2 linked regions of the Arabidopsis thaliana genome follow. The protein of the gene in region 2 purifies or fractionates together with the protein of the main gene of each other region. This does not show direct contact. Each region holds a gene or a part of one and is shown on either strand. Other genes may lie near its edges.

Region 1 (3,932 bases), about 27 Mb from region 2:
TCGAGGACCATGCATTCATCAGCATTCTCTACAAGTTGGTGGACTGAGAGAGTTGCATTGTACGGCTCAACGACTGTGTCTGAGACCTTTGGAGATGGGAAAACAGAGAATGTGAGCATCATTCTGTCTGGGTATTCCTCACGGATCTTTGATATCAAGAGAGTTCCCATTCCTGAACCCGTGCCTCCTCCAAGAGAGTGACATACTTGAAACCCTGTAATACAGAAATGTTAAGAACAAGTGTGAAACAATGTACTACAAAACTAAAGAAGTCCCTTATACCTAAACCAGATCCAAAAAGTATTGAGATGTTATTTAACAATTGCTGAAACCAATCATGACCCACTTGCTTATTCAATTATATCCCCACAAAGTGATATGTTTCACCTCGAAAGTGTCAACACAAGAGTATTCCCTAAAGTTCTTATTATAAAATTCGATATGGTTTTAAGGTTTCACGTGATATTGTTGATCCACAGTCACAAATCTGGAACAAAACATTAGGGGACACTAATACACTACCGCCAAATTAGGATATTGTCCTTAGTTTCAATGATGTTAACTTTTTACTATAAAGAATAGACAAAATCTAAATCCTAGCCAATCATTAAGTGTTAACAGCTCACTCTTAAACAGTAATCAACAGGAGAGAAACACCATAAAAACGCAAATCAAACACAAGAACATCGACGGATCATGTTCATGTAATTCATAAACTGTAATTGGAACCATGACCATGAAGAGATCAATGAAGAGAAACGTTAATCAAATATCAAAACACGATATGTGAGAGATTCACTAGTGCAATGCGAAGATGATCAAAAATCAAACTGAAATCGAAATCATCGGTTACTAAATATGCAACTACATTAACACTCACGAGACGAGATTTAAATGATCGAAACCATCGGATAATTGCAGTTTTGATTCACAAATCAATCAGATAATATGATCAAAGCACCAGCAGATTCATAAATCAAAAGGGAGAAATCGATTCATATATATACCTTGAAGGCAATCACAGTTCTCAGCTTCCTTACGAACAACATCGAGAACAGCATCAATAAGTTCAGCACCTTCAGTATAATGACCTTTCGCCCAATTATTTCCGGCACCGGATTGACCAAAGACGAAGTTATCAGGACGGAAAATCTGACCGTAGGGACCAGATCTGATACTATCCATAGTACCAGGCTCGAGATCCATGAGAACAGCACGAGGAACGTAACGACCACCAGAAGCTTCATTGTAATAAACATTGATACGTTCGAGCTGAAGATCGGCGGAATCACCGTTGTAACGTCCGGTGGGATCAACGCCGTGTTCGTCGCAGATAACTTCCCAGAATTTGGAACCGATTTGGTTACCGCATTGGCCGCCTTGGACGTGGAGGATTTCTCTCATGATGATGATGATCGATGAAGATTTTGGGATCTGGAGATGGTGAAGGAGAAGAAGGAGGAGAATAAGAAGGGAGAGGGAGAGAGAGAGGCGGGAGAGTTTTTTTTGGGAAGTAGTGACAAAATTTGACAGCGTGGGGAAGATGGGATCTTTGCCAGCTTTAACCGTTTGTTCGTTTTTTATCCTCTGTTTTTTTTACTATACTCTCTTTTTAAAAAAATGTTTTTTTTTACCATTTGACTTTTTTGCTGCAAACAAAAATGTCACATATTGTTGTTAGCACCGTCAAATTGAAATTTCTACAAAGTGAATGATTAATGTTATTTAAGATATTGTTGAATTATATCGTCCATTTAACTATTTAAGTGTGATAGCTTTCAAGTATCGATCATTCATTCTAGTTTCAAATCTTGATCCATTTGATGAATCTTTTACTATTCGAATTTCATCACGACTAGCTACAACCACCCTTGATTATATGTTATGACTTCTGAAAACATCGAGAAACAAAAATTCAATAATAGTGCGTAGAAGAAGACGATCAATGCGTAATGAATACAGTAACTTTGCATGTAGTATCTTAGTTGTTTTAGTGACATAGCACATGTAGCAAGACGTAATAAACGATCTGGAGATCTTGAATGCATATGTACCTATTTCTATGTAAACGATCAAACACAATAATTGAAATCGGTTGAATGATCAAAAGTATAGAAAAATATCATCACACTGATTGTGTTTGGATCTTTTATACAATATTGATGATAACATGAAAAACAAATAATGCCATAGCACATGTAGCTAGGTAGATGTAGACTGTAGTAAGATCTGAGATTTGATCCAATTATTTTTTCATTTTTATTTATGTCATGGTCGATCTACTGTTTATACGTAACGTCAAAATCAATAATTGAACTTGTAAAAGGATCCTATATTTTTTAAAATATATATTTGTTCTTGGTAAATTACTTGCTCCCAACTTATTGTGAAAACGTATGTCACTCAAGGGAACATAGAGGAAATGGGAGCACGTTAGCTGTTCGTATGTGGCTACAATATCTTCTTATAGAGCACGTTAGCACTCACCAAGTCAAAACAGACCTGGGCCGGTTTGCAGATAACAACTGTGTGAGCCCATTAAAATCTAAAACGGCATCGTCTAGTAGTCTTTAGTCGCAATCAAACCACAAACCCTAAGATCATCTCTTTAAATTACCATCCGTCTTCTGCAATTACACAAGTGATTCGAATCGCAATCAAACCACAAACCCTAAGATCAACACAGATCCTAATACTCTCTGATCATTCCTTTAAACCGTTCTTTAGTTTTGCTAATTAAAATAGACTTTTCTAGGTTTTATTATTTCAGACAATTAATTATTATCGAACTTTGCCACAACGGATGACATTTCCCGGTATCGGATTTTCATCTCTAACCGGAATAGTCGAAGGATCTTCTTCTCCTTCACCTTTAACTCTCATATAAAGCTCTTGACCAAGATACCATTGCTCTGCTTTCTGTGATCTCACGTTCCACATTCCTTGATTATCCATAGCTATCAATATTGCTGTCCACGAATATGGATAAACCTAAACACACACAGAATCAATTAACCAAAACTAATCACTGGTTTAATACTTTAAATTACGAGATTAGATATGGCTTAACCTGAACTGTTGACCGTGAAACAGCATCTACTAAGTTATATCCAGCTTTTTTGCTTTCAGACCAAGCTCCAAATCCATATCTAACATTAAACTCAAATAAAATTAGTACACCTAATTTAATCATCATACACATAATTATGATTTAAATATTGTAATTTTTACCCGACAACGAAGAAATTGTAACCATCGATGTGATAACTCTCCAATCCAAATAGAGGGTTCTGGAACACGATGTGGATGAAATCTTTGTAATGAATATCGACCACTGAAGTTCCAAGAGTCGGTGTTTTGTTGGATGGATAAACCGGGAACATGCCAGGGATTATCGTGTCATTTAGCTGAAAATGATCAACGAGCTTTAACGGAGTCTCGGGGTAGACAAACGAAACGCCGTTAATCGTATACCGTAGTTTGCCCGACGATAACATAACGTCGTTATGTAATATTATCGTTCTGGTTACGTTTATTCGTCCATAGTGGTACGAACCTTGAGGGTTCGATCTTGCTGCTCCAACGTTCAGGTCCATTCTGTGTCGTACACTTAACGTTTATTAGTCAAGAACAAATACTAAACGAAATATTTCATATAAAAGTTTTTATTCTTTGGTATAAAAAAAGAGTATTTCTTTACCTAATGGAAAGGGCTTGTTCAACTGAGGAACCAAAATCTTGCAAAGCAGGTGCGAGTGGACCTTGTCCGACTGGGTCAAGTGGGGAACCGGGATATCGAATTAAAGCTATACCGCCAAGGTAGGAATCAGTGAACCGAGCTGTGGCGAATATGTAGTAAGACCGGTAAATTCCAACCGGGTCGGTTTTGGCAGTGACAAGAATAGAGTATGATTGGCCTACGTGGATGTCCA
Region 2 (3,932 bases):
TTACATATCCATTTTTCCAAGAAAAGAGTCATAAACTTATGCATGATAAATACAGTTGACATGATTTCCATGAAATCTAACCCAGCCCAACAAGGCCCATAGGTAGAACCCATCCAAAATCCAGCTTATGAGTGAGTTACATGTGACATTTAGTCACTCCCAAGTCCTAACGCCGATGTGAGCTGTGTAAAGAATATCAATACTTTCACTCACAGGTCAGACACTGAAATTTTGCTTCAACTTGAGTCATCCAAGATGATATTTATAGAATCAAGCCCATCTTTATGGTTGGATATCCCAATCTCCATGACCACTTTGATCATTAAATATCTTCCAATAATTATACGAACTAGCGGACTAGTCAAATATGTTAATCCTAAAAAAAACATTTGAAAAGTCACATTTTCCACCTGTTAAGCCATGAATTCTATAAATTCTATATGAGTTACCACAATGTTTCTCTGAACAAATTACCGTGATGAAAAAAAAAGAATGAAAGCTGATAACAAATTTTGGTCAAGTTGACAATGTTTCTATCGTTGCTTGGAAAAATAATACGAGATAATGTTTTGTGTCTATCTTCTTCACATGCAATCTTAAATGAAATTAGTATATTGTTACAAACGTCAGAGAAACAGGAAAATGACGGGAGACCTTGTTAAACGAGAGAAACAAAACGTCAGCATGTTAGTTGAGCTCTGTCACCATATATTTATGCATATCTTTTGGAACTCTTCGTATATATCACAAGCATCAATAATATTTTTTTCTATCTTAACCCATTTTTATTTATATTAAAACCGTGTAAGGAAATCGCCAGAAATTGCAGACCTGTTTCGTCCTTAATTGCGGATCTCATCAATAGGTTAAGTAGTGACAACTTGTTGCGAGGATAATAGTAGTGATGGTTTTCGAAGATGAGTTATCCCAAAAAAAGAAAACAATTGACGTGGTGATAATAAGTGATCAATAATGTATGTAAACATATGAATGGTGAGAAACGTAAATGTTTATTTTCCTAGTAATAGATAAGATACTTCTAGTTTAGAGTGGTCCACTACTGTCTCTTTAACAAAGGCATGATGAAAAAAAAGTTCCTACTTGCAATTTCATGTTTGTTTAATTTTAGTATGACTCAAAAATTGAATTATTGACCAATAATCTATTTGATGGTTCGTTTTACTTTTATTATTTTTTGTTGAAAGAACAAATTTGAGAGAAAAAAGCTTAGTTAAAAGTTACTTTTGACTGAGCGTTCGATGCTTTTTCATCTAAACCACTTGGAACTCATCAAATAGTATATTTTTGCTTATATATACGTTTTCATATATTGCCAAACAAAATTATATTGTTACGATGATATTGTAAGAGCATTATAAGGATTAAGTTGAGTTAATATGTGTTTAGCTATGTTTGGTTTAATGGAAAATCATGTGCAACTAGCAAGAATAATATCACACATCACTGTTTTTGACTAATGGACAAATTGGATGTGACACTTAATAGAATAATTCTTTCTTGGTAGTTGCTATGATAACTATATTTGTCTTAACGTGAGAAAAGAAGCGATTGGATTGATGAGGGGAAATAAGTTGGATATGATCTCTGAATTCAACAAACACACATCTTTTACAATGAGCAGATGACTAAACTTTAATACACTAATATGGAAAGTTCGAAGGAAAATTACCTTGGATGATGATGATATTCGAGTCCAGCAAACACGCTTTGCTCAAAATTGTTAATCCAAAAGAACAAAAGACATCATATCTCCCAATATTTAATCATGACTAAACAATAGTAATAAAGCTACATAAATGTATAATTTATGATTCAGTTAAATAAAGTTTTATGTATTTTATCAAAGAGAGTCCAAAAGTCATTTTATATTTACTTGTCGAATATTTATTGTCACATATACATATGAAAACGACCCAGCAGCTTCCAAAAATTTATGACGTTATATATTAAAATTTAATACGTTATTAGATGACGTGGCAGTTTATCATTGGCTAACCAGAAAAAGCTGCAAGAAAGGAAATGTGTTACTATAAACTTGGCGCCTGTCTTGTAGCCGTTGCTTTCCTCTCCGGCCTTTTCTCTCTCCTCTCTTCGACCGTCGTCGCCGGAGACCCTTTTCAAGCGGCCAAACAAAGATGCAAGCTTTTTTCTTTAATACTACTGTAGCACTATCGCATCCGATGCTGTTTTAGATTTTGGGTACTCTGCTTCTCTTTCTCTTCATCTTCCTCTGTTCGTCGTCAGGTGATCCTTAAATCTCTGAGTCTCTTTTCACTGTTTTTTATTTTGTTAGATTCTGGTTATTATTTGATTGTGCGTTTCACTTATCCGATTCCTAAGGTTTTAAATTTGTTTCCACTTGACTTGACTTTTGAGTGTGCTCCTCCGTTTTCTAGGTCGTGTAACCCAATTTCGTTTTTTTTTTTTTTATTGGAGATTGTTTTAAGGCTTTCGAAAGTTTAATCCTCTCTGTTTCTAGGACCAGTAATTTAGCTATGGATTGTCTTGTCGAATTGGGTAGTTAAAATATCTGTTTTTTGCTTTTACATCGTCGGCTACTTTACTGGTTTTTGGGGGACTTCGTTGGATCTTTCACCTTTCTTTATAGAAAGAAAACAGCTTTTCGCGTTTATTGCGCGTACAGTGATGTTTGCTTTTCTGTGGATGAATCCGAAATTCGCTTCTCTGTGAAAGTAAATCTTACTGTTCTGGATATTATCTTGGATCCTAGTCTCTCTCTATCGCTTATGTTTGAGTTCACAAGTCTCTCAAGGTTTTAACAAGTATTTTAATTTGGTAGCTGAGTTTGATTGTCGGAAAATATGGCTCAAAGAAGGGAACCTGATCCGCCTCCACCGCAGAGGCGGATTCTGCGGACTCAGACTGTTGGTAGTCTCGGAGAGGCTATGCTTGATAGTGAAGTTGTTCCCTCTTCTTTAGTTGAGATTGCTCCGATTCTACGTGTGGCTAATGAAGTTGAAGCTAGTAATCCACGAGTTGCTTACCTATGTGAGTTGTAACAATTTCATTAACTTGATTGTGAATCATAAAATAACTTCTTTTCTCAGCTTAAATTAGCTTTGAATAACAAAATTACCAGGTCGTTTCTACGCATTTGAGAAGGCGCATAGGCTTGATCCAACTTCAAGTGGTCGTGGTGTTCGCCAGTTTAAGACCGCGCTTCTTCAACGATTAGAAAGGGTAAATATGAATGTATACACTTTATTGATTTGACTAACATGTTGTGTTTAAGTGTTGAACTCATGCCGTTTACGTTTCTGATTACTTCTTCAGGAGAATGAAACAACTTTGGCAGGAAGGCAAAAGAGTGATGCACGTGAAATGCAGAGTTTCTATCAACACTACTACAAGAAATACATCCAAGCTTTGCTGAATGCTGCGGATAAAGCTGACCGGTTTGTGTTTCACTAAATGTTTTCCTTCAAATGTGCTGTTTTTTTTCTTGCAACTTGACCTCTTACTGTGTTTTCCACTCATTTACAATATTTTACCTTTAGTGCTCAACTTACAAAGGCCTATCAAACTGCTGCCGTTCTCTTTGAAGTCTTGAAGGCTGTTAATCAAACAGAAGATGTGGAAGTGGCTGATGAGGTGAACCTCATAGTAGATATTGATCTTATAGTCTCATTCTTGTGCGAGTCGTTACAAATGCTTTGGCCAAACATCTTGAAACTCTCATGATCTAGTTAACCAAAATTGTTTCTGATCATCCTCTCTTTTGCTGTAGATTTTGGAAACGCACAATAAGGTGGAAGAGAAGACCCAGATTTACGTGCCTTACAATATACTTCCCCTTGACCCTGATAGTCAGAATCAGGCAATAATGAGATTGCCTGAGGTTATCCAGATTCTCAGCTTGTCTTCTATTTTTCTGTTTTATTGTCTTTCAG

The links.
Region 1: the proteins of CALS1 (region 2) and TUB1 purify together in Arabidopsis thaliana (co-purification; one study listed by BioGRID). This does not show direct contact.

The regions. Positions count from the first base shown.
Region 1 is NC_003070.9:28,452,199-28,456,130, forward strand, and holds the start of TUB1 (tubulin beta-1 chain), read right to left. Parts: upstream 1,623-3,932; 5' UTR 1,405-1,622; coding exon 1,008-1,404; intron 215-1,007; coding exon 1-214. Other genes in the region: sks18 (SKU5 similar 18), read right to left, coding at 2,782-2,991, 3,071-3,149, 3,232-3,597, 3,701-3,932.
Region 2 is NC_003070.9:1,657,589-1,661,520, reverse strand, and holds the start of CALS1 (callose synthase 1), read left to right. Parts: upstream 1-1,909; 5' UTR 1,910-2,265; intron 2,266-2,441; exon of another isoform or gene 2,442-2,821; 5' UTR 2,822-2,843; coding exon 2,844-3,030; intron 3,031-3,121; coding exon 3,122-3,222; intron 3,223-3,315; coding exon 3,316-3,437; intron 3,438-3,539; coding exon 3,540-3,633; intron 3,634-3,769; coding exon 3,770-3,880; intron 3,881-3,932.